4 linked regions of the Tamandua tetradactyla genome follow. The protein of the gene in region 2 purifies or fractionates together with the protein of the main gene of each other region. This does not show direct contact. Links are inferred from orthologs where the notes say so. Each region holds a gene or a part of one and is shown on either strand. Other genes may lie near its edges. The genes, in order: FAM83G, VAPA, RAB3GAP2 and VDAC1.

What was found.
Region 1: the proteins of VAPA (region 2) and FAM83G purify together in Homo sapiens (co-immunoprecipitation; 3 studies listed by BioGRID and IntAct, counting the BioPlex papers as one, with this or other methods). This does not show direct contact. The link is inferred for Tamandua tetradactyla from reciprocal best matches to the Homo sapiens genes VAPA and FAM83G.
Region 3: the proteins of VAPA (region 2) and RAB3GAP2 purify together in Homo sapiens (affinity purification with mass spectrometry; 3 studies listed by BioGRID and IntAct, with this or other methods). This does not show direct contact. The link is inferred for Tamandua tetradactyla from reciprocal best matches to the Homo sapiens genes VAPA and RAB3GAP2.
Region 4: the proteins of VAPA (region 2) and VDAC1 fractionate together in Homo sapiens (co-fractionation; 3 studies listed by BioGRID and IntAct, with this or other methods). This does not show direct contact. The link is inferred for Tamandua tetradactyla from reciprocal best matches to the Homo sapiens genes VAPA and VDAC1.

What each region holds. Positions count from the first base shown.
Region 1 is NC_135332.1:2,152,041-2,159,940, forward strand, and holds the start of FAM83G (protein FAM83G), read right to left. Parts: upstream 3,001-7,900; 5' UTR 2,929-3,000; intron 2,247-2,928; 5' UTR 2,129-2,246; coding exon 1,601-2,128; intron 1-1,600. UniProt on the Homo sapiens protein: Substrate for type I BMP receptor kinase involved in regulation of some target genes of the BMP signaling pathway. Also regulates the expression of several non-BMP target genes, suggesting a role in other signaling pathways.
Region 2 is NC_135344.1:73,602,701-73,610,553, forward strand, and holds the start of VAPA (vesicle-associated membrane protein-associated protein A), read left to right. Parts: upstream 1-4,839; 5' UTR 4,840-5,067; coding exon 5,068-5,146; intron 5,147-7,853. UniProt on the Homo sapiens protein: Endoplasmic reticulum (ER)-anchored protein that mediates the formation of contact sites between the ER and endosomes via interaction with FFAT motif-containing proteins such as STARD3 or WDR44.
Region 3 is NC_135330.1:80,027,949-80,034,903, forward strand, and holds the start of RAB3GAP2 (rab3 GTPase-activating protein non-catalytic subunit), read left to right. Parts: upstream 1-3,954; 5' UTR 3,955-4,076; coding exon 4,077-4,191; intron 4,192-6,955. UniProt on the Homo sapiens protein: Regulatory subunit of the Rab3 GTPase-activating (Rab3GAP) complex composed of RAB3GAP1 and RAB3GAP2, which has GTPase-activating protein (GAP) activity towards various Rab3 subfamily members (RAB3A, RAB3B, RAB3C and RAB3D), RAB5A and RAB43, and guanine nucleotide exchange factor (GEF) activity towards RAB18.
Region 4 is NC_135346.1:13,052,820-13,059,743, reverse strand, and holds the start of VDAC1 (non-selective voltage-gated ion channel VDAC1), read left to right. Parts: upstream 1-3,900; 5' UTR 3,901-3,919; intron 3,920-3,931; exon of another isoform or gene 3,932-4,024; intron 4,025-5,347; exon of another isoform or gene 5,348-5,435; intron 5,436-6,924. UniProt on the Homo sapiens protein: Non-selective voltage-gated ion channel that mediates the transport of anions and cations through the mitochondrion outer membrane and plasma membrane.

The sequences.
Region 1 (7,900 bases), on a different chromosome or scaffold from region 2:
AACCTGTGGGACTTTGGGGGGGAGCTACAGGGGACCCCTGGGACTGCACAGAGCTGCTGGGCCCTAGCTCCTGCCGAGGCGATGTGGGGAGGAGGCCAGGGAGTCAGCAAGGGAGCCTCGAGTGCCCAGCCTGGCCCCGGGCACCCTTATCAGGCCCCATCACGGGGCCAGGTCACCTGTTTTTCTGTCTGGGGAAGATTAGATGCCTCTGGCCAGTTCCCAGGCAGTGCTGGAATCTGGTATCTGGTGGGGCACAGAGGTGGAGAGGGGGGTATCCCTGGGGGGGTGCAGCAGATCAGGCTCCGTCCCCCAGGGCCCCAGTTTCCCCATTTTTATGGGATCCCAACAGGCTCTCCCAGGGGACTGGGTTCTGCGAGCTTAGGCGTCAGTGATGCCTTCCTACCCCATGGCACGAGTGGGGTGGATTATTCAACCTGAGACCCACGAAGGTCGAAGGTCACTGCCCCTGCCTCCCTTCCCCCCTCCTTCTCCCCCTCCTCCTTGCCGGCACAACAGCACAAAGAGGCAGCTTCTATCCTCACCACTCCCGTTTTACAGACCCGTTTTACAGACCCGTAAAACCGAAGGTCCCAACTGCCTGGAGACTCCGGTGAGTCGGGGGAGGGGCAGGCCAAGGGCCAGGTTCCCTGACAAGGTTATCTGCCTTGGGGCTGTCCTGGAAACCTAAGCCACTTGTGGCCTCTGCCCAAGGGCTCACTCAGGTCTGTGTGTCGGCCAGGGTGGCCCAGAGCCAGCCTTCCAGTGAAGGTGAAGGGGGTAGCCTTGGCGAGTTAATACCTCCTCCGTCACGGCCTGAGGCCAGGGCACCCGCTGCTTATCAATCACTACTCAGACTGGGCTTCAGAATCCTTCTGAACACAGCCTGCTAGGCGCCTCTGTCAGCTGCATTAGGAAGTGCTCTGCATCCAAGGAAAATCACTTCTACTCAGAGAAAGAAGCACTTGCTCATGGTTACAGATGTGGCAATGGCTGGGCTGCCTCGCATCGCAAATATGTGTGAGTGGGGTACAGCCACCCACTGGGGCCCCTGCATAGCCTGCAGGGGCCAGGAAGGGGGTTCAGACAATGCTTGAGTTCCCTTCCGATGGTGAGATTCAACTCAGGTGAACAAGACTCAGCTGCACTTACTCCACCTCCCCAACACTCCCTGCACTTCTCCCAGCCCACAGAGACTCTGTTCTTGTCAGGAGGCTCAGAGAGGGTGAGCACCTCACTTGCAGATGCCCAGTGCAGCCAGGAAAGAGCCAGCTGTGAATGAGGACCTCCAGGCCAGCCTCAGAGGGACTCAGCCTCCTCTCAAGCTCTGTGACTACCCCTAGCCCATGCTCTCTCCGGCTCCCCATGGAGGCAACAGCAGGGGGCCCTGCTCCTCCTGGGGTGGGGGTGGGGGGTGGGAGGGGATGGTCAGAGCCATCCCAGGGGAGAACCAGTGAGAGAAAGTTCACCACCCCGCCGTCACCCCATGTCTGGGGAAGCTGCTGGCCAGGTCCAGGGAGCCTGGTACTGCCCCCCAACAATGCACAAAGAGCCATCAAGCCCTCTGTCACCCACTGGAGGACCCCTGTCAAGGGCCCCTCACCTTCTGGGCCTGGCTGATCATCTTTCTCACCACCTCCTTGATGTGGGCCTGCCCGTCGATGGGGGGCTGCATGTAGACCGTGGCCCGGGTCACCCCCCGGTAGGCGATGGTGTCAGGCCAGCCCAGGTCCAGCTGAGGGATGGAGCGGTCCGACTTCTGGGGCCAGTACTCCAGGGAGGGCAGCGGCTCCGCCTCGGTCAGGGTCCCGCCGCCCGCCCCGCTGGCCCCCTCGGCATGGCCGCCCGCGTCCCCCTCCTCGGGGCCCCCGCAGCGGCCAGCGGCGCGCGGGTCCTCGGAGCCGGGGTCGTACACCTGGATGGTGTCCAGGATGCGCTGGAGCTCGGGCTCGGAGAGGAAGTCGCGGATGTTCTCCCGCTGCAGCACCTCGCGGAAGGCGTCGGGGCCGCGCGCCACCAGGGCCTCCAGCGCCAGCCGCTGCCCCTCGCTGTAGAAGAACTCGGGCTTGGCCTCGCTCGAGCGCCAGTTCACGTGGCCGTCGTCCAGGCACTGCACCTGGGAGAAGGCCATGGTGCCGGCCGCGGGCAGCCGAGCCCGGCGGGGCGGGAGCCTAATTCCGGGCCCCGGCGGGGGCGCACGGCGCGCTCTGGGGCCGCCCGGCTGCCTCTGCGCCTCTGTCCATAGAAACCTGCGGGGAAGACCCGGTGAGGGCAGGGGCCGGGGGCGGGGCGCGCCGGGGCGGGTCGGGGGCTGGGGGGGTGGGGGCGGGCTGGCGTGGGGGGGTGGGAGGGGCTGGGCAGAGATGGGGACTGTGTGTGTGTGTGTGTGTGTGTGTGTGTGTGTGTGTGTGTAGAGGGTGAGAGTGGGGGTCCGAGATGGGGACTGTGTGTGTGTGTGTGTGTGTGTGTGTGTGTGTGTGTGTAGAGGGTGAGAGTGGGGGTCCGAGATGGGGACTGTGTGTGTGTGTGTGTGTGTGTGTGTGTGTAGAGGGTGAGAGTGGGGGTCCGAGGCCGGCGCGAGGGGACCCGTGTGCCTGGGTTTTGGGGTGCCAGGGGATTTCCGGAGCTCCCCGAAGTCTCAGGCAACTTCCAAGGGAAATGAGGGCAGGCTCGGGACTTCCCAAAGTTTCCAGGATTTGGGGAGCAAGAGCCTGAACTCTGGGGTCTCTGGCCTGGCCCAGCGGGCTCCGCATTTCTGGGCGCTCCTGGGAAAGGATCTCGAGATCCCAGGGTGCTAGGCATCGGAGAGCCGTAGGGCCTTCCTGGAGGGGTCCGGGGCCGGGGGACGGGTCTGGGAGCCCCGGAAGGGCGGCTGGCCGGCGGCAGCGCCTGGCGGGGGGTCCCCGGGGGTCGCGGGCGGGGTTCACTTACCGGCAGGAGCTGGCGCGGGCACAGAGCAGACTGGAGGGGTACCGCGCGGCGGCTGGGCGCGGAGGCGGTGGCGGGGGGCGGGCCCGGGCCACTGTCGCTCCGCCCATCCCGCCGGCGGCCACCTGCGGTCACATGCCTCCGGGAGGCGGGGCCGGAAGCTGATTCACCGGCAGACGTTGGGCGGGTGTGCACACCTTCTCTTAGCTGCCCCACCCACCCCCGGTGCGGGCAGCCCACGGAGCTCGGGGGTCCAAGGGCAGGAGCTCCTCGGAACACTGCGACCCAGAGAGGGTCAGTGCGCTCCCTGAGGTCACACAGCGAGTCGACGGCCTTGGAGTCCCTGCTCTGTCCCCAGGCCTTGCAAGTGGGACGGGAAGGCTGTGGGGGCTGTGTCTGCCTTGGGAGCCCCAAGGCAAGAGTAATGCAAGGTCTGGCTAACCAACCAGGAGGGTGTGTGGGGGGAGCTTTAGCTGTAGGATAGAGCAGGTACCAGTTCTGAGGCCTGAGCCCTCGGGGAAGGCGTCACCAGGGACCCTCCCCAACCCCGAGGGGGGCGGGGCACAGGCTGTGGTGGGTTGGGTGAGGCCCGCCTCTCCGCAGGCGTCCCCAGGGCTTGGGGACCCTGGTTATGGGGGCGGGGGCACATTTGAAGGCAGGCTGCCAGGGTGGGGACGCAAAGCCCATTAAACCTGGCCACCAGGTTCGTTGCATGCCACAGCCAGTCAGCCAGGCGCCGGGGCAGCCGCCCCCCACCCCCACCCCAGGTGCCTTGTATCCAAGCAGGGCTCAGGCCTCTTGGATCAAGGGAGGGGATGGGGGCCTGTTCGGTGAGGGTGGGAGACCTGGTCCCAGGTCCAGCAGTCCTCTGGTGTGTCCCTAGGACTCCAACCTGAGAGCACCGCACCCCAGGTTTGAACTGGAGTCGGACCCTCCCTGCCATCCACTGTCAGGCTTCTCCTCCTGCACACTCTCCTGCCCCAGCACCCCTGGACCCAGCACCTGCAACCTCTCCTGCCCCAGTGCCCCTGGGTCCCCCTCCCTGACCTCCAGTCTCAAGTCTTCCCTGCCACTCGGCCCCCTCCCAGGCCCCAGGGGTTGCTCGCTATCTCTGCACTCGGCAATAACCTGTGCATAGGGAGAGATTAACAGGAAGTTCTCAGAAAATGAGCAGAGGGGTCCCTGACCCCTCCATCCAGCTCCCCAGCGGTCACAGCTTACATAACTAGATGCAACATCAAGCCAGGAAAATGACCTTGGCACAACCCACAGACCTTATTCAGATGCCACCCATCTCCCAGGCACTCATTTGCGTGTGTGCGTTTGTGGAGTTTGAAGCCATTTTATCACATTTGTAGATTTGTGTAATTATCATCACAGCCCAGACATGGAGTTGTTCCTCTACCACAAAAATCTCCCTCGTGCCCCTTTAGAGCCATCCCCCCGTCTCTCCCTCTGCCTGCCCACAGCCCTAATTCCTGACAACCACTAATTTTCCCTCCCTCTCTATAATTTTGTTATTTCCAGAGTGTTATATAAATGCAATCATAAGTATGGAAACTTTGGGGATTGGCTTTTTTTTTTTTTACCCCATCCACAGAAGATTCATCCTGGATGTCGCGTCTGTCATTATTAGATCTTTCCTTTTCATTGCTGCATAGTATTCTGCGGTAAGATTGACAGACTGCAGTTTCTTTAACTGTTCGCCTGCCAAAGGACATTTGAGTTCTTCCCACGTGGGGCTATTACATATAAAGGTGCCGTGAACATTCCAGTACAGGTTTTCTCTGGGACAAACGCCCAAATGTGTGAGTGCTGGGTCATCCGATAACTGCCTGTGTTGTTTTGCTTTGTTTTGTTTAAAGAAACTGCGAAACTGCTCTCTAGGGTGGCTATATCATTTTACGTTCCCCCCAGCAATGTTCGCATCATCCAATTTCTCCACATCCTCACCAGCATTGGGTGTTATCCCTATTTTTAATTCTAGCTATTTTGATAGGTGCAGAGTGACGTCTCATTGTGGTTTTAATTTTCATTGTCCTTGTGGCTAATGATGCTGCATGTTTATTTCATGTGTTTATTTGTCATGTGTATGACATGACACCATGCCTCTTTGGTGAAATGTCTGTTCGTGTCTTGTGTCCATTTTTTAACTGGATTGTTTGGGGTTTTTTAGAGTTGAGTATTGAGAATTCTTTATATATTTTAGAGAGATGGCCCTTGCCGGGTCTGTGGTATGAAGAGATTTTCTCCAGGCAGTTAGTTTGGCTTTTCACCCTCCGCGCAAGGCCTCATGCAGAGCTAAAAAAAAGTTTTTAATTTTGATGAGGTCCAATTTATCAACTTTTATTTAAGGATCATGCTTTTGGTGTTAATTCTAAGAACTCTTTGTCTAGCCGTCCATCTGAAGATTTTTTCTGCATGTTTTTCTTATTCTAAAAGAAAAAAAATTGACCCGCTCCATTTTGAGTTAATTTTTATATAAGGTGTGAAATTTATGACGAGGGTAATTTTTTCTTTTTCTGCATGTGTGGCCTACGGGTGTCCACAGAGGATTTTTACACGGGAGGGACCAGCCTCGGAGAGTTTAGAGAATCAGTCGGATCACACAGCTCTGGAGGGGAGAGCCGGCCTCAAACCCAGGTCTGCTGGAGCCTTTGGCCTGGCCCCAGCGGCCTCGGGGATGGGCCGACTTGTTGGGGGAGAGGAGGGCAGGCAGCCCACCACCCTCCCCACGGCCCACCCTGGGCCTCCTTGGGAGAAGATCATTCAGTCAGTCAACAAATGCTGACGGAGGTTGGCTGTGTCCAAGACCCCAGAGTCGTTGTGGTGGGGGAGACAGGACAGACATGGGGCAAGAGCTATGGGTGCCGGGTCAATGTTGCTCTGAGGCCCTGGGAGCTCAGACTCGCCCCGTGAGAGGAGGAGAATGAGCATACATGCCCTGGGTTTGCAGGCTGGAACGGTGTTCTGGGAGTGGAACCAGCAAACACAGACGCCCAGAGGTGGTGGTGGAGGTGGCAGGGTGAGGGTGCTGGCGAGGGTGCAGGGATTTGAATGCATGCGGAGAGACTTCAGTGCCATCTGCAGGGGAGGGAGAGCCCCAGAAGGGTTGTGAGCTGGTGGTTTTAGAATTCCTGCAGCTGAGTCGAAGGCTCCTGGTGGGCAACAGAAAGCTGCAAGGAGCTGGCACGGAGGCCCCCGGGACCGAGTGCAGTGGCTGACCTTGGGTTCTGGCAGTGGGGATGGAGGACATGGGCAAGGAAGGGGCAGCTCCCTGGCTGCTGGTGGGGGCCCTGACCGGGTGGGGTTGGATGCAGAACCAGAGCCCCATGGGAGAGCCCCCAGGCCTGCACGCCCAGAAGACCCTCCCCAGCTCCCCAGTCATTATGGCCTGTGGGTGCTCACGGCTGAGCTGGCAAACCCAGGGAATTTTGTTGAAATGGCAGCAGGACCCGCAGCCTCTGTGAAGGAGGAGGTCCTTTCTTTCCCTGCGGCATGAACATGAGCTGGCAGTGCCCAGGGGGCGGTGCCCAGTGCCAGGAGTCAGGAAAAGGCTGAATAAACTTGGGAAGAATCTACTGACTCGGGTTTTCTGAGCCATTATGTGGCTGCGATGCCTCACCTGTCCCTCCCAGGGCCAGAGTCAGCCTGTCTAGCTCAGCGCCCATCAGGAGGGCCCAGTGGCCTCAGATGCCTGTGTGACCTGGGCAAGTTGTGCCCCTTTTGGCCCAGAATCCCCCACTTACAGAACTGGCAGGGTGGATTTAGTAGTGTCAGGCAGCTGGATCAAACGGTACCTGAACTCCTTCCTGGCTCTCTCTAGGTTCCTTTCTCTCTCTCCTCCTCTCCATCCTCCCCTCCATTCACTCACTTACTCACTCATTCATTCAATAAATGTTCCCCAGTGTCTCCGCTGGGCCCAGCCCTGGGCTGGGCGATACCAGGGACTCACGATGATTCAAACTGAGTGTCTGCTCCTGGGGAGCTCGTGGGGTGGTGGGGGAGGTGAAGAATGTAAACAAACAACCCTGATTCAGCCCTGGCCATGCTCTGCTGGAGCGCAAGGAAGGAAGCTGCCGTGCTTGGGGTGGGGGGAGCAGAGGTCCTCAGAGGACAAGCCCTTTGCGACTGGGCCTGGACTTCTGCCATAAACAAGGGTGGAGGTGGGCATTAGGCAGGCTGGCCCAGCGGGATGGGGGGTGGGGGTGGGGGTGGGGAGGCGGCAGAGTGCTGGGCGGGCAGGCGTGAGAAAATGCAAGCAGGTCAGGGTGGCTGGAGCCTGGGGCCAGGATGTGAGGGGCTGGACCAGGTGTCAAGGGCCTTGAATGCCCTGGAAAGTTTCCCCCACCTCATCCCAGGGCGCCAGAGGCTCCAGGAGCAGGGGGTGGGAAGGAGGTTCTTGAGTTGTGAGCCCAGAGAGGGTGGCCTGGAGAAGAGGGGCAGGGAGACCGGCATGAACTGGGGTTGCAGCAAGAGGGGTGGAGCCCGGGCAGGGGACAGAGGGGAGGTGGGTGGGGGAGCTGCAGGCTGGGGGACAGGCAGAGGAGGTGGGGAGGTAGGAGGGAGGCTGGGTGGGGTATCACTGGGACAAGGCGGGGAAGGAGGCGAGGTCCTGCTTGGACGAGCTCGTGACACACTGGACAGGAGATTGGGTGGGAGATGAGGATGGGGCGAAGGTGGCTGTTGCAGCCCCCTGTTGGGGGGAAGGGGTCTGAGATGGGCACCCCCAGCAGGTGAGGCCTCCCAGGGGGAGCTTTCAGAAGGGGTGCAAGAAGGGGGCAGCGCCTAGCCCAGGGGTGCTGGGCTGCGGGTTTGCAGAGCATAGCCCCAGGAGGGACAAGTGAGCCTGAGGTGGCCGCTCTCCCTTGCGATTTTGCTGGTACAGCAGGCAGGGCCCACCCACCACCCCCAGGTCGTGGCCCCTGGTCACACTTGGGGAGCAGCAAAGGGCCACGGGAGCAGCAGGTGCTGA
Region 2 (7,853 bases):
TTGGCCTTTCTTGAATTAAGGTACTCTCTTGTTGTTCACAGCTTTACAACTGTTAACTTGCAACTTAATAAATTCCCCTTTTTAATCTATTCAGGTATATCACATTCCGGCAGCTCGCAGACTAAAACAGGAGGTATTTAAAAATTGCAGCTCCCCCAAACAGTACAAGGCTCTCTTTGCTTCTCTATCTGTATCAGGTGATCTCATCCATTTAGATGACTTCAGTTCCCATGCATGTTTAGGACTTGATTTAATTTTCAGCCCAGAGCTCTTTCCTCTGAGCTCCAATGAGAACATCCCATTGCTTATCTCCAAGGCATCTTGCATTGACCTGTGATCTTCCCTTCCCAGCTCCCAACAACAAAAGCTTGTCCTCTCCGGAAATGGCACCTCATCTATCCACCCACACAAGCTGGAAGTAGGGGAAACATCCTCTAGATCTCATTTTCTCTCACCACCCTCCAAATCCATCCATATCTGAACCCTATTGATTTTACTCCCTAAATAGCTCTGAAATCCATCCAGTTTTCCCCATTTCCAGGGCATCTACTGTGGCTCAAACTCCTACCCTCTACAATGCCATCCTGCCATGTGAACTACAGCAATAGTCCCAATTGCTCTTCCCATAGTTCCTCTTACTCCTTCTAATCCAACCTCCATGCTGTAGCTCAGAGGTATGTTAAAGACCATTTCACTCCATAGTTGAAATGTTTGGTTGGTTTCCCATTTTCTTAGGATAAAGACCCAAATCCTTAATATGGCCTAAAATAAGCCACATAACTTGGCTTTTCTGGCTTCGTCTGCTGCTCACTGCCAGATTTATTCACTGTAGCACACTGGCCTTTTTTTCAATGACTTAGAATGTACCGTGCTTATACTGTGCCCTTTGCCTTGCATACTAAGTAATCGTTCAGAACACAGCCTTGTCATTTCCTTAGGTAGCTCTTCCCAACCCCAGACCTATTTGCACAACATCAGACTTCTGAGCCCTAGTGCTTACCACAATTTAGATAAAATAATTGCAATATTAGTTATTTCATATTTGTCTCTCCTGCTTGAGTGTCAGCCTTTAAGGACAAGGTCGTGTCTATGGGTTCATTGGTACATCATTAGCATCTTGGTGCAAGGCACATGATGAAGCTGGATAAAATAGGACAACTGTAAGTCCCTGGTCTCCTATTCAACTCTGAAAGAGTTAACAGACAACTGCAAGTTTCTTGTTTCTTACCTAACTCCAAAAGAACTTATACAGAGCTGCAAACTTCAGCTGCAGACTTCCTGCAACAAAAATTTCCCAAACGCCCCCAAACCTCCCAAAACTACTGAAACCTCCTCAAACCATAAAAACTTGTAAAATTCTGGGCCCAAAGCAAACTCTTAGTTAATAATAGCAAGCACAATGTCATAAAGATTGTTAACCATTTGCCCAAAGACAAATTTCAGGTATGTGACAACAAACCACTAATTCTGCTAGCTGTCTCCTCCTAGAACAAAGAAGACACGTACTATTCAAAGGTCACTGTGGAAACCTGCCACTGGTAAAACTTTCCTATAAAACAAGCTGGGGGCAGGCAATAGTGGCTGAGTGGCAGAGTTCTTGCCTGCCATGCCAGAGACCCGGGTTTGATTCCTGATGACTGCCCAGGCAAAAAAACACCCAACCAACCAAACAAAAAACAAGCTGGCCTACTCCATTCAGGGCATGTCCCTTCTGTGGGCACACCTGCATTAACCTCTCTAATGTGTACTCTCTCTTTCTAATAAATGTCTCTTTCAATAAACTTTACTTATGCCTACTGGCCCTCTCATCTCTGAATTCTTTTAGTTTAAAGACTATGGAACTTGGATCGGGGTTCAGCTGGCACCTCTGCCAGCAGGACATGGGTTACAATACCAGTAAATTAGTGTTCCACATTGATAAAGTACCAGTGCCCAAACCAGGCACTGCATTCAGCTTTCTTGTGCCTTAACTCATTTATCCTCTTAATGAAGCTGTACAGCGGTTCAGCTGTTATTATCCCTATTTTACAGATGTAGAACATGCACAGAGAGGTGAAGTAAGCTGCCAAGGTCACAAAGTGGAAAAGGGGATTTGGATCTAACAGTTCAGCTCCAAAGCCTGTGTGCTTGCGTGACACAGTATTTATTGAAAGCAAGTCCTTTTTAGCATTTATGGAATTGACCTACTCAGGGAATTGATCATAAACAAATTAAATATTCTAGAGCACCTCTTTAGTAAAGTGTAATATGTTTAACTATGGAGATGGTTATACTTTTTACCATGTTTTGGAAACTGTTTTTGTGGATCTTTGCCAAGCTCCTAAGAGATAATCTGTCCAAAGGTGAACACTCCTGGTGATAGAAATAGACCAAAGTAATAATCGAGGCCTTCGTACCTCTGAGACACATTAAAAAGTGGTCTTTAAAGATATGGGCTTGGAAGTATATATACGTTTTGCTAACAGAACAAACCTGAACTTCTAAGTGAACAGAACAAACCTGAGGCCAAACTTGTCATTGTTCCTAGTTTAAATGTTAACAGATAAGTCAATTGCATTTTAAACTGCTGTCTTAATTGCTTAGCATTGTCACTTTTTTTGTGGCTTTGGGAAGAGCAAAAATGCACAGGATGGAAAATAGGGTTTTGTTTTACCCCTTAAGTTTGACTCTAGTACTGGCTTGAGAGGCCCTCACCTGTGTTTTCATATCCATATTTAATAACCAAATTAACCCTTTCCAACTGCTGCAAGGTTGTCCTGAGTAGCCTGTAATGATGTTTGTATAGTTCTTTGAACTGCTAGAAGAAGGTGTTAATAAATCCCAAAGAATAAACCACTTAAACAGAGCACCATTTGATGAGGGGTAGACAATTCTCTGGGGGCTCTGAGTCATTATGAATGCAATGCCTTAAAACAGTCATGGGGGAATTATTCCCAAGGCATTTCATGTATTGTTAGAATATCAGATTTGTATAGATTTTAAGACTATGCCTATAGGATTTGGAAGCAATATGGATGGAAAGAGGAAAACTGTGGACACACTTGGAGGATGCTTTGATGGACAGAGGTTTCCTAATGATACAGACTGGGAAATTGGGGTACAGTCAGTTACACTTGGTGGGTGGGAAATCAGTGTCCCATAGGGGAGTGACTGGGAACTTCCTCAGCATGCTTTATCTGCTAATTGGGTGCGTGCACACTGGGAATTTCCAAAGGCTTTCTGGAAAGAGAGATTCCATCCAGCTGTGGAGGGGTTAGGGGCCAGTTCAGCCAAGGCTTCTGTTCCCTCCGCTAACTTGCCAACCCAGGAGAGGTTCTAAGGCAAGCAAGGAACTGTAGTTAGTGAAACCTTTTGGGAACATCAGTTTACAACTAAACAAATGTGGGACACCATCCAGTGGAGTGACTGCCAACCTCAAGCCCCCGCCTCCTTTTTTTAAACATTAAGCTCCTTTTTGATAAACATACACTTCTGGTAACCCTCCTTTAATAATTAAATTTTCAAAAATACCTTTTGTGAATACAAAGAAATCAAGGGAAAGGTAATGTTAGAATATGCTTTTCGAACTACATAAGCATTCCAATCCCCCCACGGTCTTCTTTCTGGTTGTGGGGCAGGCTCCAGCGAACGCTAGGTCAGCTATTCCTCCGCATTGCACACGAAGCCTTGGTCAGCCTGGGTCTAGACGACTGTTCCATTCGTCTCATTTATTTTCCACACAAACCTAGCTTGTCCTTTATCGCAGTAGCCTCAACGTGTCCTTTGTTTTGCGGCGCTTCCTAGGAATTTAAATTCAGGATGCACTGCAAAGGTTTATTTACAGCACATTGTTCATTTGTTTCACTTGATGGTCCTGTCCCGGGCCACCACGCGGGCAACCGGTTGAAGATGTGTCAGCAACTTTGCTGCTGGCATTTTCCTCCTTATTCAGTTTACTACAGGCGGCCGTGGGTGCTGCAGGCGAATTCGTTCCTAGCGAACGTGACGCCGGTTTTTGCTTTGGAGCTATCATTCATCGCAGCCAAGGAGCAGCAGCGCTGTACATTCGGACTTTTGTCATTTGACGTGTGTACCCGGTCAGTGTCCCCAATGAGGTGGCGAGGGCGTTTCCCCCGCGTGATTTCGCCCTTTCTGGAGAGAATCCAGAGAGCCGGAGACGCTGGCTGGGAACAGGACCGAGACTCAAGTTCTCCCGTGCAGGGATGGATGGGTTTAGACAGTAAACTGATAAGCCCCGGCCTGTATTCCACAGGGTAGATTTCATATTATTCATCAGCCTCCAAAGCATTTGTTTTTCTTTTTTAGCGCGGTCGAGAGCTCCCAGGAGCCCCAAGCAGGGTCAGCGCGCTCCACCCATCCGCCTTCAACGGACGTCGCTTCTTCCCGCCCGCGGACCACGCACACTACACTTCCCAGCAGGCACCACGCGCTGCGCCTCCAGGGACCGGCCGCGCTTAGGCTCCGCCCCACGCAGGGCTTGCTGGGAACTGTAGTTCACCGGCGCCTTCCGTCTCCTTCCTTCCATCAGGCATTGCCACTTGGAAGACGGTGATGCGGGACCATCATAAGGCTTCTTGTTTCGTAATCGGAGCTAACGCGAGAGAATATTGCTCCTCTAGCACCACGGGGCGCCCCGTTTCCTCCCACAAACCTTAGCGCCGCCCCTGACCACGCCCGTTCCCTTGACAGCTGGCCCGGGGGCTCCGGCCACTGCCGAGGACTGCAGTGCGCAGACGCATCGAGATCGCGCCGTGCTGGGCGGGTCTGGGGGCGGGGTGAGCGCCGAGCGGCAGGCGGCGGGGGCGCGCACGTCTGCACGCAGCCCGTCACGTGGGGCGCCGGGATCGCAGTGCGCGCGGCCGCGGCGGCTGGTGTGGGGTTGAGTCAGTTGCGAGACCGGAGCTGCTGACCCGTCCGGCGGCCGGCCCAGCAGCGCCAGGGCGGCAGGCGGAGGCGAGCTGGGAGCCGGAGCCGGGCTCGGCCGTAGAGCGTCTCCAAGCCCGTGCCTTCCCTGCCCCCGCCGGCAAACCGCCGCCGCGGGCGCGCCCCCGCTCTGCGCTGTCTCCGATGGCGTCCGCCTCTGGGACCATGGCGAAGCACGAGCAGATCCTGGTCCTCGACCCGCCCACAGACCTCAAATTTAAAGGTGGGCAGCGCGCGGTGGAGCTGACGACTGTCTCCCCTCGGGGGCTTGGCGTGGGGTCCAGGGGGCGGCGGGCGCGCGGGGTGTTGGCCTGACGGGTGCGGCGTCCCCTCCCCCACGCGCGGCCCTCCGGCTCGGGCGCACTCGCCGCCCCGCCGCCTCCCTCTCCGCGGTCCTCCTCCCCGCCCTCGCTCCTCGGTGCGCGCGCCGGCCGGGGGCGGGAGGGCCGGCCTGCTCCCGCTGCCGCTCCCGGCCGGGTCTGGCTCCCGCGCCGCCGCCATCTTGAGGCCCGCCGGGCGCTCCGGAGTGGTCCTCCCGGCCCCGCCGCTTTGGGGTGTCCCTGGCGGTCTCATCTGCGTGCTCCTCCCGTTCCGACCGCTTTGGGTTGTCCCCCTCGGCCTGACCTGGAGGTGCTCCTCCCTGCCCGACCCGGGTGCTACCCCCGGTCGGCTTCGACGTGCTCCCTTTGGCCCCGGGTACTCCTCTGGGTTCGGGGTACTCCTCTGGGTTCGGGGTGCACCTCCCCCACCGCGGCCGGGTCGTCCCCGCCGCTGGCCCTTTGACCTCCGGGCCGTTCGGAGGCTGCGGGCGGGCAGCGACCTGAGAGCAGCGCGCTGCGGTCCACGGGGGAAAGGGCGTGTGAGGCGGCGCCAGTTGCACCCGTGGCTTTCTGTCCACCGGGCGGGAGGTTCGGCATCGAGGCCGCAGCTCGCGACCCAGCCCCGGAGGGACACGGTCCCTCTGCCTCCTGCCGCCGTCCGCATCCCGGGGGAACGCCGGGTACAGCCGGCCTTTTGCCCGGAGAGGGTGTTGCTGCTCGACTTGACTGAGTTAATAACTCTCCTGTTAGGCGTTGGGAGCCCCGAGTTCTTCTGGTTATCACCTACCTGGTTTCGTTGTAAATGACGTGCGGGGAGGAAGGCTGGGCGCCAACTTGAAGATCTGCGGTGGGAGCGTCCTGGTGGTGGGGCTTCCCGTCCGCGGTGGCATTTCAGTTTACCTTGCGTGCAGAGCCCTGTCTACTCCGGTTCAGTTTAGCCCTTGAGCTGAGCGTCTCTGCTGCGGAGTCTTCAGTTTGTGGCATTTGCCTTTGGATTTGCGGTTTCCCACTTCACCGTGAAAAGGCTGTGAACGTTTCGCTCGGCTTCGTAAACGTCATTAATTTCTTTTGCAGCAACACCCACGATAAACTTACTAGTCTAACTTAGTGGTGCTTGAGGAATCCGGGGGCTATTTCGTCCGTTTGCGTTTCAGTATGTAGACGGAGGGTAGTTTAGGGAAGGAAATTAAAAAATGAACATTTGTGGATTTTTTTTTAAAAGAACTGCTGAAAGATTGTGACGTTCTTGAGTAGACTCTTTTATCCTAAGTATAGAGTGAGCTCCCTTTTGGAAGTCGTTATCTTGTATTTCAGTTTCAGTAGCTTACAATTTTGTAAGGTGTATAGCAGTTCCAGCGTTAAGAGAAGTTATTGTTGTATAAGGTCGTATCCAAAAGGAAAAAATACATCATTTTTCCATAGAAAATTTTAAATTAAAAAATTTTTTTGGAATAGTTTTAGCAAGTTCTTTTCTCTTTCACTCTGGAATTATGAGAGTATTGCATAACTTTTTAACTTTGCAGTTCTCTTAGTACATTTGTAAATTTCTTTGAATGGTAATGTGAGTTGCTTGTTAGGTAAGGATTTGATTTTATAGACAACTCTAAGAAGTATTTTGAGGTGCAGTGAGTGCATGACTTTCCATAGTTTTAGCTGAAAAAAAAACTTTTGAGGAATCCAAAAATTATCTAACTCAAATATCGATTATCATAAGCTGAGGAATTTTAATGTAAACTATTATGTGTGTTCTTTCTGCAGTTTAAATATTTTGTTTTCGTCTTTTGACAGCCTGAATTTAAAGAGAACATTTCCTTTATCTGATAACCAGTGTGTTGGGTTAGAAGCATTTAAAAACCAGTTTAGGCCAGGAATTGTCCACAGTTTGAAGGTTTCTTCCTAGAGTGGTTGTAATGCTGTCATAGTAAAAGAAATAATAGTAGGTTAAAAAACAACCCCAAACCCTACATGATGACTACATTTGATTAATGATGTTCAGCAATGAGTAATTCATTCAGCAGGTATCAGCTTATATTGGGGGAGTCATTGCTAATCAAGGTAGAGAAAAGATTCCCATGGTTAGTTCATAGTTTAATGGGGAAGGCATACAATTAAAAAACAGTAAAATGTGTTAGGTTTTGTCTTTGCCCTTGAAGAACTTCCAAGACTAATCAGGGAGACAAAAAAGGCAGGAAGATGCTCTAACAGAGGCACAAACATATCTATAAGAAAAGAGGGCCCCGCTTCTTTTCTACTTCCTCCTCACATTAGAGTAGGAAGCCTTAAAGGAAGAGACTAGCTATGGTAGGTGGGTGGTAGGGAGTGGGGAGAATGGCCAAAGACAATGGTTGAGTAAACTCACTGATGTGAAAGAATGCTTGGCATATACTCCCCCCCGCCTTTTTCTTTTTATTAGAGAAGTTGTAGGTTTATAAAAATTATGCAGAAAATAAAGTTCTCATATACCCCTTTGTGTACACGGTTTTCGCAGTTATCAACACTTTGCATTATCATGGTACCTTGTTATAATTGATGAAGTATACTTATAGTATTTATAATATAACTATAGTCCATAGTTTACATTGGGGCTCACTGTGTTGTACAGTTTTCTGT
Region 3 (6,955 bases), on a different chromosome or scaffold from region 2:
TGGCTTTAAGCCTTCAGTCCTGTTGTGTGGAACTTTATGATGGTGATTATCAGCTGGTTCTTTGACTATGTGCTGAACCAGATTCTTCTTTTGGGCTCCATTCGTGTTTAGAAGTAGAGGCCTTTTACGTTTTAAACTCACAAGTTGGTTATTCTGAACCAATGTCACAATAAACTGGACAATCTTTCGAATAACTTGTTGCTGTTGTGCATGTTTTGCTCGTAATTCCAACACCTCCTTCCAAAGTGACTCATTCTCACTTTTCAATTCAGAAAGCCTAGACTCAATAGTCTCTTGTTTTATTTGAACCTTCTGAGCACTGCTTATAATTTTTGTTAAATCTTCTTGACGAATTTTATTTTCTTCTGGTTTTGAAGAGGAAACCTTCCTTTTAATGTTTTCCAGCAAATCATCCTGGCCTTGCTTGAAGTAAGGATGCTGAAATTCAACAGGACCATCTCGTTCCTGCTTTACAATTCCCGAGTCGATATGTACTACTTTACGGAAGCCATACATATTCAGTTGCCTCACAAAGCTTGCCATGTTATTGTGCTTGAAGTACCTGGGAAGAATTTCTTTTGCAAATCTTTGTTCATCCAAAACCAGAAAACTTCTCCATTCTGGCTCCAGGTGATGAACTCGTTGGTGTGGGCCTCCTCTACCAGAGTCCACAGCTTGCTGAGGAAAGCCGGCACGTTCGAACTCTGCTTCATTGTTAACGAGGCGCAGGGATTCCGAATTCTAGCCCCGCACGTGGCGGCGGCAGCGGCAGCTGCTCGCTGAGAACGCTCATAGATCTTTATTGAATAAAAACTAGTTGTATATAGCCCTTGCTTCTGTCTTCACAGACGTCAATACAAGGATGACCTTCAGCAAAGCCATCAGGTAAAGATTCACTGACCTTCCATTCCCTTTTCTCTGCTCTTTTTTCTTTCACTTAGAGATGCTCTGTGCCTTCAAGTTCACCCCTTCCCACCTGGCACTCTTAATGGGGTGCCTGCATAATCTACTCCTTCTGGGCTACTCCAACCATTCTGGGTAACTCCAACCAGACTTTTTCCTTCCTTTCAAAATCTACACATCCTTGGGATGGACCTTAGAGCCCAGCTTCTTCATTTTTTTTTTTTTTTGCCTTTTTTTTTGTTTTTGTATGCTGTATGGCAGGGTCACATTTCATTATTTTCCATGTGAGTATCCTGCTATTGTAGCACCATTTGTTGAATTTTTTTTTTTACATGGGCAGGCACCGGAAATCTAACGCGGGTCCTCTGGCATGGCAGGCGAGCATTCTTGCCTGCTGAGCCACCGTGGCCCCCAGCTTCTTCATTTTATAGATCAAAGAAGATAAGGCCCAGAAAGGCAACATAAATGAGCCTGATTAGTGGCAGAACTTGGGACAGCCCTAAGTCTCCTGAGTCCAAGTCTGTTGCTATTTCTTTCACACTTTGCTTCCCATTCTGCCTCTCGACCCCTTTGGCTTTGGGGTGCTGTTAAAGATTAGCAAGGACCTGATGTTAACATCCTCAGAAAGCCTCTCTCAAATTAATGACCTAAATTAATAATGAATAATGGAGAAATTCCATGATAGTGTCAGCAACTCTCCAGTTATTATTTTGGACAAAACCCTTTTCCTAACTCCTGAGCTCACACCTCAGAGAGACACTGTCTACACTGGGATATATAAAGCTTGCGTGTTTTCTGCAAAGTCCTTTCTAAAGACACTGTAGTTGGCGAGGTTCACTGTCTGACACAATCCTCCCACACTCCCCTGAACCATGGCAGCAGAACTCCAGAAGCAGCCCCTGTAGCTTTACAACTTCCTGAAGGCTGAGTTCAGTTCATGCTTCATAATTTCCGTGAAGGGTATCTTAAAGTCCTTAAAAACATTCATGAATGAATCTTTTCAATGCCTCTTGGAAGGACGTCAGGGACTTCACCATTGAAACTGAGCTAACGCAATAATGAAACTCAATGACTGCCACATCAGAAATAAATGAATGCTTCCAGGCAGAACAAAGGGCAGCAGAATTAGCCATGGGGAGTTATTTCCACAAGATGCATTTACCTGAAGAGGGACTTGAATGATTGTCAAGGAATGACACTGTCTTCTTCTAAAAAGTGTCCTGTATTCCTATTCATCCAGTAAGGCTAAAGATCTAAATTTAAATTTTATTTTAGTTCAGTATTTTGCACATATTTTAGGGGATCATCATCAGAACTGGATTATTCTACGGAGTGGTGATCTAAGAAAGCACTGCATTTTTTCAGGTGGAAAAAAGGAACACTGGAAACTTGCCTTTCTGCATGCTTTGATGATAGAATTACAGAGCCCTCATGCTAAAGAGGACCCTCTAATCCAACCTGTAATAGGACATATAATCCAACCCTGTAACCCAATTTAAAAATTATCTACATTCTTTTGTGAAAATCATTTTTTCTACAAACAGGAATTAATGGAGTAGGTACCTAAGTATTAAATATAGTTGTTATGTGAATAGGACTAAGTGTGTACACAGGCTTGACAGAAAAGAATGCTCCAGACCCATCTATTTGCCTGCAGTTTATCCCTGTGTGATTTTCTCTCTCATAAAAAGTAGATTATCTCTTTAGGTTTCCTTTACGAAGAGTATGAGTGCTTATAGTCCTTTGTACTAAGTAATTTCTTTTTTGGTTTTTACTTTTCAGAAAAATAACTTAAATGGGTTCAAGAATCCTCTCAGACACTTAGATCAATTTCCTCATTTAAAAAAGTAGGATAATATACATTGTTTCACAAAGGCAATGTGACCATATGATGGAACAATATACAAGGAAGTACTTTAAAAGATATAAAGAGTTTTGTAAAGGAAAGAGGTTTTTACTTCATGCACAGATTCCATTTCATTTATTCCTTCAACAAACTTTTATTGAGAACTGGCTATGCAGCATGCCCTATGCTAGATATTAGGGATACAAGGTAGAGTTAAATGAGAACCCGACCCTCCAGTACTTTACAACAACAAAAATCTGTTCCTGATCCTGACATCCCCCGCCAAAATCAAATCAAAACAAATAAAACAAAGCGAAAGCAACTAGGCAGGCCTCCCTGTTATACCGTCATAACACTTCAGACTTTTCTTTCTCAACTTTACCACAATTTCCTTTAATTTTTTTTATTAATTAAAGAAAAAAAGAAATTAACACATTTAGAAATCATTCCATTCTACATATGCAATCAGTAATTCTTAACATCATCACATAGATGTATGATCATCATTTCTTAGAATTTCCTTTAATTTTAATTTAATTTCCATTAATTGCTTAGTGCCTGTGTCAGTCACTAGAATTTTACCTTCACGAGAACAGGTACTTCATCTGTTCTGTTCCCTGCTCTACACTCAGCACCTTGCGTGGCTGACATAAAGAGACTAGCCACAAACATTTGTTGAATGGATGGATGAACGAACAAATGAAAAAGCAACCAGAGTATATAACACAGTACAACACACACCATATCGGGCATGCACAATACTAGGGGAATTTATAGGTGGGTCATTTAAAGCCAGTCTGGATGGAATTGGTTTCCGGAAGATAAATCAGTCTTGTTAGAATTCCATACTTGTATGATACCGTTCCCCACTGTACTGTCATTGACTTAACCCGAATTATTTTCTGTGAATTATCACGATCGTGCCAATAACAGGACATCAATAAGACTGGTTGAATGACTCAAAAGCTCTTGTGGCCACCATCCAGGGAGCTCAACTCTGGCTAACAGCTGTGTTCCTGGGTCACTTCCCGGCGTAGGCGGAGAACGGCCACGGAACGTCTGCTCCCAGCCGTCACGTCCACGTGAGACCCTCGGGAAGGACGCCCTCTTGTCACGTGACTCAGACCTCGCCTTCCGGGGGGCGGGCCTCGGCGCTTTGCGCACGCGCAGTGCTCCGGGGCGGTAGCCGGGGAGTGCGCCGACAGCTTCCGGTTTGCTTTCCCCGCCTCCTGCGTGGCCCGAGTTGTCCGGGCACCGAGGGAGTAGCCGAGGGGTGTTGGGGGTCGTGGGTAGGTGAAGCAGCGCCAGAGCGCGGTTTCCTGGAGCCATGGCCTGCTCCTTGGTCCAGTTCTGCTACTTCCAGGACCTCCAGGCCGCCCGGGACTTCCTGTTCCCTCACCTGCGGGAAGAGCCCCCCAGCGGTGGAGTGCGGAGGGACCCCAGTAAGTGCCCCTCACCTGGCCACTCCTTTTCCCGTCGGCCACCCCCGCCGCGCCCGCGGCCTTTGCTTGAGGGATTCGGGTCTCTGTCCGGCCCTGCGCCGCCCGCCTCTGCCCTCTGGGCCTCCGGGCCTCCCCCCTTTCCCCCTTCGCTCCTTGATAATCTCCTGCCGCCGCGTCTTCAAGCCCCGTCGGACTGTCGGCGTCGGGCTGCTCGCTCGCTTTTTTCAGCTTTTGTCCGGAACCGCCTCGCCCTCTGGCCAACAGCTGCGCCTTGCTTCCTGCTCTCGCCTCTGCCTAGCCTGCTTCCCCACCCCCTACTCCAAGCTTTCTCTCCAAGTCTCCTCTTCCTCTCCCCCTCCCTTCAAACCCAGGGTCTCTTGTTCCTTACCGACCCCTCCGTGGTCACATCCTTCTCCCCATCACTTGCCAGCTGTCAGCGCACGACCCTGGCAGCACTCCAACCCAGAGGCTTCTCCATTCCCGGGGCTGTGGCTTTCTGCCACCTCCCTTCTGAAAGTGTCGTTATCGGCCCACCCTCGCCGTTCTTCTATTCCCTTTACCCCATTCAGATTTAGAGAATAAATGGTGGCCAAGTGATGACTCCTAAGGCGGTGAGTGTCTCCCAAATAAGGAGAATAACCTGTTAGTTTAGAGGAATGAGAATTTACATCAGGAACATAAATTACAGTAATATGACCGAGAAAAGTTGATTTACTTTATTGACGTGAAAAACCTTTCACTCATCGCCATCCAGTTGTGTTCAATAAACACTTGCTTGTTTGAATGTAATATAAAATTCCAAGGCTGGTTTATTAGATACTGCGTTCCTGAGAATTTCCTGCATTTCTCTTTTGCAAAGGAATGTTTTCTGTGTTTTTCTTCATATTTCCATTCTGAATGTTTATTTAAACAAATAAGGTTGGAGGTCCCTGGCCTCTAGTAGGGTTAGTGGGGAAAACAAACAGCAGTTACCATATAATATGATTGAGATATATGTGAGGTGCTACGGAAGCCTCCCTTGAAGTTGTGATGGTTAAGCCTTACCTTTAAGTTGTAGTTAAATGAATAAGGGAGAGATAATAGCATGTGCAGAGGTAAATGAAGTGATATATAGAAAGCTAAGAAAAGCTGCATGGGTGGAGAGGAAGATGAGGGGAAGAGTGTGGGAGGGAAAGCTGCAGTTAGTAAGACTCTAGATCATGGGGAGTCCTGTGAAAGTTGTGGGGTGTTCTGAAAGATTTAAACCAAAAAAGACTTAGATTTGTACTTAGTGTAAGCAACAAAAGTTTACTGATACTTATTATGAGCCCTGGCAGCAGTGTGGAGGAAACAGGGAGATGGTTGTGAGGTGCTCTCAGTAATCCTAGGAAAAGATAGGATGTGAGCTTGAACTAAAATAGCCGCAGCAGGGTTTGAGAGGACAGGTCTTGATTAGAGAGCGATTAAGAAAGTAGAATCTGCAGGACCTACCTAGGGAAGGTCTGGTGTGGAGTAGGATGGGGAGGTATCTGGTAAGTGAGAAGGAGTTTAGCATTCCTTTACTTTGGCAAGGGTATACAATGAAGAAGACAGACTTGGACCCTTTGCATTTTAAATGTTTTGGCCTGTTCAAATGAGGAGTTCAAATAGAACATTAGATATAGAGGTCTGAAACTTGGTAGGGAATCCAGGACCAGAGCTTTTAATTTGGGAGTTACAAGCAAAGAAGTGTCAGTTCAGTCTCTCAAGGATTATATATACCATGAAGTGAACCGAGCCCTGAAGTTGGAACCTCCGAGGAGCACTGAATTTTAAGGGTCAAGTAGAGGTTACTGGGAAGGTGAAGGAGGAGGATCAGAGAGGAAAAGCAGGTGAACGTAACATTCCAGGTGCTGAGGGAGGAGAGAATTTGCTGAAGGTGAGGAGTGGTCAGCAGTTGTAAATGCAGCAGAAAAGCCGGGTGAGTTAAAGATAGAAAAGTGTTCCTTGACTTTGGAATGTTGGAAGTGACTGGGGCCTAGGACGGTTTCAGTGGAATGTTGGGGGTAGAAGGCATATTGCAGGAGTTTGAGGAGTTAAAATGAAGGTGATTGTTTTAAGAAGCTTGGCTGTCAAGGAGAGGATTTATAGGAATGTAGATAGAGGGAATTTAGAGAAAAGGAACACATTTTCTCTATCCTCCTGCTACTCCCCTGGTCCAAATCATCTTCTCTCACCTGTGCTATTGTACCAGTCTTCTGACAGGGCCTCCACTTCCACTCTTGGTTCCTTGTAATTATTACAAATTAGTCACAGTGACTATTTAAGACATTAATTAGATGACATTTCCCTGTTTATGACCCTCCATAGCTCTCCATTGCTCTTAATATAAATCCAGAGTTCTTACATAGCTTAAAAGGTCCTTGAGATTCTGCCTCCTGCCATTTCTTAGGCCTCATCTTTCTTTTGTGTCAGGCACTCTTCTTGTTTTTGAAACAGCTAAGCTTATTTGTATGAGTCCTTTGCTGTTGCTTCTGCTTTGGATACTCTGCGCAAATCTTTGCAGCCTCAGCTGCATCTTGTCATTCAAATTTGAGCTCAAATATTGACTCTTCCAGGTGATCTTTTCTGACCTTCTTTAAAGTCAGTTCTACCCCACTGACTTTGTGGCTCTCTTTTATTTCTTTATTACATCACTATATCTAGTACTGTCAAGTATGAGAACCTCTAGCCGCATGTGTGTATTGAGCCCTTGAAATCTGGCCAGTGCAACAGAGGAACTGACTTTTAAATTTAATTTAATTTT
Region 4 (6,924 bases), on a different chromosome or scaffold from region 2:
TGTGCCTTCACTGGGCCCACCTGGGTAATCCAGGATACTCTCCTCATCCCCAAATCCTTAAAAGCAAACTCATCTGCAAAGACCCTTTAGACATGTGCTGTAACATACTCATAGGTTCCAGAGACTAGGACGTAGACTAGGATGCAGCGGGTTGGTTAGTGTCTTCCTGAAATTCATATCCCTCGGACCTTTAGAATGAGACCTTCTTTTCTTTTTTTTAATTGAGAAATCTTCACACCCGTGCATTCCACACTTGGTGTACAATCGATGGCTCACAATATCATCACATAGTTGTGTATTCATTACCATGAGCGTTTTTTTAGAGAGACTTTTATTTGGAAATAGGGCTTTTGCAGATGTAATTAGTTAAGGATCTGAGATGAAATCATCTTGGATTTAGGGCGGGCCCTAAATCAGTCTTCCTTATAAGAGAAGACACAGACATGTCAAGATAGAGACTGATGGAGTGATGCGCCCACAAGCCAAAGAACACTTCGGGGTTACCAGAAGCTGGAAGAGGCAAGGAAGAATTCTTCCTAGGAGCCTTCAGAGGGCGCATTGCCCTGCTCATGCTTTGATTTTGGGCTTCTAGCATCCAGAATTGTGTGATGATACATTTCTATTGCTTCAAGTCGTCCAGACAATACATTTCTGTTGCCATACTTTGTTACGGCAGCCATAGGAAATTAGTACAACAATTTTATGGGGGGGGGGGTGTGTGCCATTATTCTCTACGGCAGTTCACCTCTACATTTTTAATGCTGTGGTTGCAGTAATACTGAATATAAGATTGCCTTCAATTAACATTGTAGCAGGATTTTTTTCCCATGTGAAGTCTTTGTAACCATATTTTCTCAAGGCTGTGAATGAGATGTGCACATCCATCCCAGGGAGGGGATGTGCTTCAATTTGCTCAAGCTGGAAACCAGGCTGTATTCCATCCTGGACTACTATACATCGTTTTGCAGCTGGCATTTCCCATACTTAGAATTATTGGGTGCACAGATGGTTCAGTGCTAGAATGCTTCCCAGCATGCGGGAGACCCGGGTTCAATTCCCAGCCCACACACCCCAAAACAAACAAAAAAACCCATGACCACCTATTCTTACGATTATTGCTTTCGCGCAGCCTCTCGTGGGTAGAACGGACTTATAATTCTTATTACTTATCGCCTAATTGCTTTCCAGAAGATTGTATCTATTTATACAAGCTCTTTGGCTTTTCAAAAATTAAATAAAAAGTTCTTTATTTTTATAATGATGGTATTATACACTCATTAAAGAGTATTTGGGATATATAGGAAAGACCAAAGGAAAAAAATCATTCATAGTCACATAAATTGAAGCTACAATTTTTATTAATATTAAATTTCTTTCCATTTTTTCCCTCTTCTCCTCCTTTATATATACATAATTTAAAATCCAGGAAGATGATGTTGAAATTTCTTTGAACTATTTTAGACCTGGGACGTCACCAGTTGTTGCATACGGATGAGAAAATTTTTTATTGTCCTCATCTTGGGATGAATTCCATCCTGTTTCCCCAGTTGGTCACTGCTCTCCACGTCACTCAGAACCTGGGTGCTGGGTCCTTGCTCGGATGATGAGGGTCAGAACACACTATGGGATGTGTGAGCTGACATCCTTGACCACAAATCCTCAATTCTGACTCCTCCTACCCATATTCAGGTCTGATGACTTTTCTGGAAAACGGTCAGAAAGGTTAGGTTTTATAACAATTCAGTTTTGTAATAAAACTAATTGATGCTGGTTACAAGCAGAAAATTTTTTCTCTTTAAATAACCATTTATATAAGTTGCACCTTCCATTTCTGCCTTCACGGAGCTCATCCATGGACCACGCTAAGAAATCATGTTGTGGTACCAGGACCTTTGGCCCTGAAAGAAGGGTGCTGTCTCGGTTTGCTAACGCTTCTGGAATGCAATATAACAGAAATGGATTGGCTTTTACAAACGTATTTATCAGGTTACAAGTTTATAGTCCTAAGGACATGAAAACGTCCAAATTAAGGCATCCAGATAAGGATACCTTAACTCTGAAAAAAAGGCTAATGGTGTCCAGGGTTTCTCTGTCACAGGGGAAGATACATGGTGACATCTGCTGTCCTCTCCTGGCTTCTGGTTTCAAATGTCTCTCTCAGCTTCTCATCTCTCCTGGGGCTTCTGGCATCTTCTACATTGCCAAATGTCTGTGTCTGGTTTTAGATCTCTGCTCTCTTGTCAGCTCTGAACTCTTCCTCTCTGTGAGCTCCTTTAAGGACTCCGGTAAAGAATCAAATCAAAAGGTCACACCCTACAACAGGTCCGCTCCTACAAGACTGGATTAAATAACACTGGCTTTTCTGGGGTACATGATAGTTTTAAATCAGCACAGGTGGGAAGGGGTCAGGTTCTTAGGAAGGTGATTGGCTGCTCTCCACCTTGATAGATATCTTCAGTAGAAGCCCTATGACTGCTAGATATAAGAAAGAACTTCCTTACAATAAAGTATTCTTACTCTGGTAACCCATTTCAATGTTAAAAATAAAAGAAAGATCTTCCCTGACTGCTGTACTATGTTTTGTTTGAAGAGAGGAGAACTGAATTAGGACTTGGAAGAAAACTCAACCCAAGGTGGGCTAAGCAAAAAGGGAATTGATTGGCTCAGGTGGCTGGAAAGCACAGGGTGCATCTTTATACCTGGCTGGCTCCAGGAGCATCATGTCCCCAGGACTTGAGCTCTGCCTCTGTCTTGTGGGCTGGCATCACTTTCAGGGGAAGTCTTTCTCTCAACAGCCCTGAGAAAAGTCTTACTGGTCTCGTTGGTCCCTCCCTGTAGCCAGGGCGAGCAGTACTGCACTGGCCAGGGCGAGCCACGTGGCGACCTGAAGAATGGCCCTGGAGTCAGGGATGCGGTGAGCTCCATTGCAGCTTGTGGACTGTGAAGAGGGGAATAAGGGTCATTTGCCCAAAGAAAAACTGTGGTCAGGGCTGACTAGTCCCCACAACCCCCTTCAGTTACCATCTAGGAACTCAGGTGTTCTGCTGGGAGAACTGCACCCTGGCCGGGTCAAGCTCAAGGAGTGTTATCGAAGTGGCACAAGGAAACCCAAGGACAGGAAGAAACACACTCTGACTTGGGGTTTCTTAGCTCACATTTGCAAGAGAGGACCTGATGGCTGGGCCCGAATTAGATGCCCACCCCAATGCCAATCAGCTGTGGCAGGGAGGGAGGAGGTGTGGCTAAGGTGTGTCTGTGTGCGTGTGTTATGACCTGGTATAAAAGACTAACTTCACAGGCTTCGTGAGACCTAGCAGCCAACTGCTTTGCAAGAAGCAATTTACTTCTTTCATTTCTCAAATACCTGGAAAAATAGCTGCTAGGAGCTTTGCTATGGGGGAAAACTGCTAATTTGCAGTGCAAACGTGGTGCACCGGAGAGTTTTCCCTGAGATTTCACCTGGTCAGAGAAGGCTCTGCATTTAGGTACCAAAGTCTTCAACGCCCCTGCCAGTTCCAGCTGAGTTTCTTCAATGTTTTCTTGCTACATGTCTCATTTTAAGCTTGCAACAATCCTCTGAAGTTAAAGCTCTGAGAGGTTGGGCTCCTTGCTCAGAGTCCCACAGCCACTAAGTAGTTCTGAGAGCATGCAGGGATTAACCTGAAAGTAGCACCTAGGGGAGCTGTGGAAGGGCGTCAGGGCAGGTGGGGGCAGGTTAAAGACCCTAACAAGATGGGGTGGTGGGGAACATACCAGGGGAGAGAAAGCATCTCAGACAATTTCTTTCAGCTTCACAGCTGAGCTCCTATGCTAACCAGCGCAAGGTTTCTCAAGCCCCGCCTTCCCTCAGGGCCACCTGGTTCCGCTCTGCTTCCCTGAAGTCCTTCCTGGCCTGCGGAACTCTGCCTCGCTGTGCACTGTGAGTGACTCAGCAGCTTTCTCTGCCCGCCCCTCTCTGGGAGTGGGCTGGGACCTGTGTAGGGACAGCCAACTTGGCAAGCCTGAGGCTCCAGTTAGCAAAGAGGTAACTCACTGGCCTGGAGAGGGGCCTAGGCTCTGTTCTCCCCTCCCCTCCCTAGGACCCGGAGGGGCTCTGAGCCCCCAAAAGGCCTAGGGCTGTTGTGTATCAGTTCCCATCTTTCTCACCCCCTTCCCTCCATAGGAACACCACTTCTAACCCGAGTTGCCGCTTTTTCTATTGAATCTGCCGCCTGCTTGCTGGCCCCAGCTGTCGTCTGCTTTAGCGGATGCCACAGCTGCCCGTGACCAGCGCTCTGACTCTGTAGCTCTGCTTCTCCAACACGGCGCTCCAAACGCTGTTAAGGACATTTACTGGCCGAAGGGGAAGGGTGCGCAGAATCTCCACGAGTTCATCAACCCTCGAAGTCTGCGTGGGAAAGGCTCCCGCGGGACTCTCGGTTGGCAGCTTCGGTCACTACCCGCTCGAAGTCTAGCGGGGAGACGAGCGTCATTCACCCCAGGCACATTGTACCGCGGGGAGGCCGGGCCCAGGCTGGACGCGGGTCCCCCGCGGGGCGCTCGACCGGCGGGTGGGAATGGGCGGTGACATTCGCGCTTAGTAAGACCCAGCAGTCGCCATCCTTGTAATATGCAATTTACTTCTTTCACTCCTCAAAGGCCCGGGAAATGGCTGCTAGTAGCTGTACTACAGGGGAAAACAGGGGGAAAACCTGCTAATTTGCAGTGCGAACTCCGTGCCAGGTGGAGCCTTCCCCGCGATTCGCCCCTGGACGGGGAAGGCTCTGAGAATCGGATGCCGCTTACGGGACAGTCAGAGGCGCCCGAAACATTGTGTCCAGATCGCGGAGCCGAGGAGCGGCAGTGGCGGCCGCCGGCCCGGGACTAACCCCGACGTTACACTCCGCGCGGGTCTGTGGGGGGCACGTGGGGGCCACCCCTCCCACCCAGGCGCCGCCTTCCACGTCAATTCCCAGGGGGAGCGTCTCTCCGCAGCCCCGCGCGCCTTTCTTTAGCGCGGGAACCCGGCTCAGCTAACCGGAAGACCCCACCCGGCGGGAAATTTCCAGGAATGACCGGCCCGCTCGTGCGGTCGCTACGCATGTCCCCGAGCACGCACACACCGTGCGCACGTCGGTGCCATCCCTCCCCGTCGTTCCGTGCACGCGTGCACGCAGGCACTCACGCGCGCCCACACACGCGTCCGCCCGGGGCTTGGAGAAACCCGCTGAGGTCAGAGCGCAGCTGGGGGGCCGGACGTAGACCTGGGCTGGGGCCTGGGAGGCGGCCCGGGCGGGACCTGGGGGCGGAGCACGCCGGGCCGGGTGCGCAGGGTAGGGGCGGGTCCGCGCCGCCGCCGTCGGCGCCGCCCCGCCCCGGCCCCGCCGCTCGCTCGGTTCCTCTGCGCCGCAGCCCCCGCCGTAGCCGCCGCCGAGCCCGCCGCCTCCGTCTCTGAGGTAGGCGCCGCGGGGAAGGGCTCGGTCTCCGCCTGCGCCGGGTGCCGCGGGCCTGGGCCCGGGGGAGTTGGGAGGGCGAGATGGGGGAGGAGCGCGCGAAGGCCAAGGGCCTAGCAGGAAGCCCGAGGGAGAGTGCGGAGTGGCCCCTGCGGGCCTGGCGGGTCAGCAGCCGGCCGAGGAGGCCGCGCGGTCGGGGGCCCGGCGGACCCGGGCGGGGTGCTGAGGCCGGGGGTCCGGAGCCGTGGGCGCTGCAGAGCACATGGGGGCGGAAGGGCACGGGCGGTCGCGTGGAGGCCCGGCCGGCCGCGGGTCTAGGTGACCTTCCTTCGCGGTGCCCTCTGGCCCTCGAGCCCGCCAGCGCGGGCCGGGCAGGGGCCTGTCCGCCGCCCACGCGCCCCAGTTCAGGCCCGAGGCCTGCGCGGGCCACGCTGCCGCCCTGGTGATGAGCCGCGTGTGACGCCTGCTGCCCCGCGCCCCTGGCCCGGCCCGACCCGCTCGGCCCACGCCCGAAGAAGCTGGCGTGCGGCGCGGCTCGCGCGTTCCAGCGCCTTTCCTGGCAGAACGGGCGGCCGAGTCGACTTAGGCCGCAGGGACAGGGGCTTGGGCCTGGGCGGGGGCGGGGGGGGGGGTAGGCCTTGGAAGAAGAGGCCGGGAGCGGAGCCGCGTGGTTGCAGTGGCCTTGAGAGGGATTCCTGTCTCGGTCGCTCATTCATTCACCAAACGCGGCGGGGCCAGACTGTGGATTTGAGACCCGCAGCTCAAGTGATTTGCCCAAGGTCACACAACTGGGAAAATACCAGACTTCAGTTTTTTTTTTTGTAAAAAGGGAGCAATTATGTTTCTCCGTCGTGGGGTTCTTGGAAGAATAAAATGAGGTGGTTAGTAACGCGAAGCTTTCAGGACAGGGCCTGGCACTGAAATAGCCTTGGAAAAACCGTGACGCTAGCCCTTGAGGCTTTTTGGGAGGATGCTGCAGAGTGCTTTGCTCCATAGTAGTAGTCTGGAAAGAACTCAGTAAATGTAGCCCCTGTGGTTTTTTTTTTTTTTTTTTGCATGGGCTCCGGGAATCGAACCCGGGTCTCCAGCACAGCAGGTGAGGATTCTGCCACTGAGCCACCGTTGCCCCCCCTTATAACCCCTGTGATTTTAAACATAGTTATTGCTGTATTATTAACGAGCGTGTGTGCCAAGGCACTGATTAAATTTCAGCAAAATTCACAAAAAATCCTGTACCTGTATAGATTGATAAGGTCGGGCCGGGGCAGGAAGCTTGAATGCAGAGGTGGACTCTGTTTAGCCTAGGTCTGTCACATCTGAGGCCCCCATCCTCTTGACCAGCGTCCCCCAGAGGGAATAAGGAAATGGGCGCCTCCTTTGCCAGGGCAGACTGCCCGGAGCCTGCCTTTTTTTCTCTTTGCCTCAGCCCTCCACTGACTGAGCTCCTGCAGGGCATGGTGGGCCCCATGCATCCCTGCCTTCAGGCCTGGGG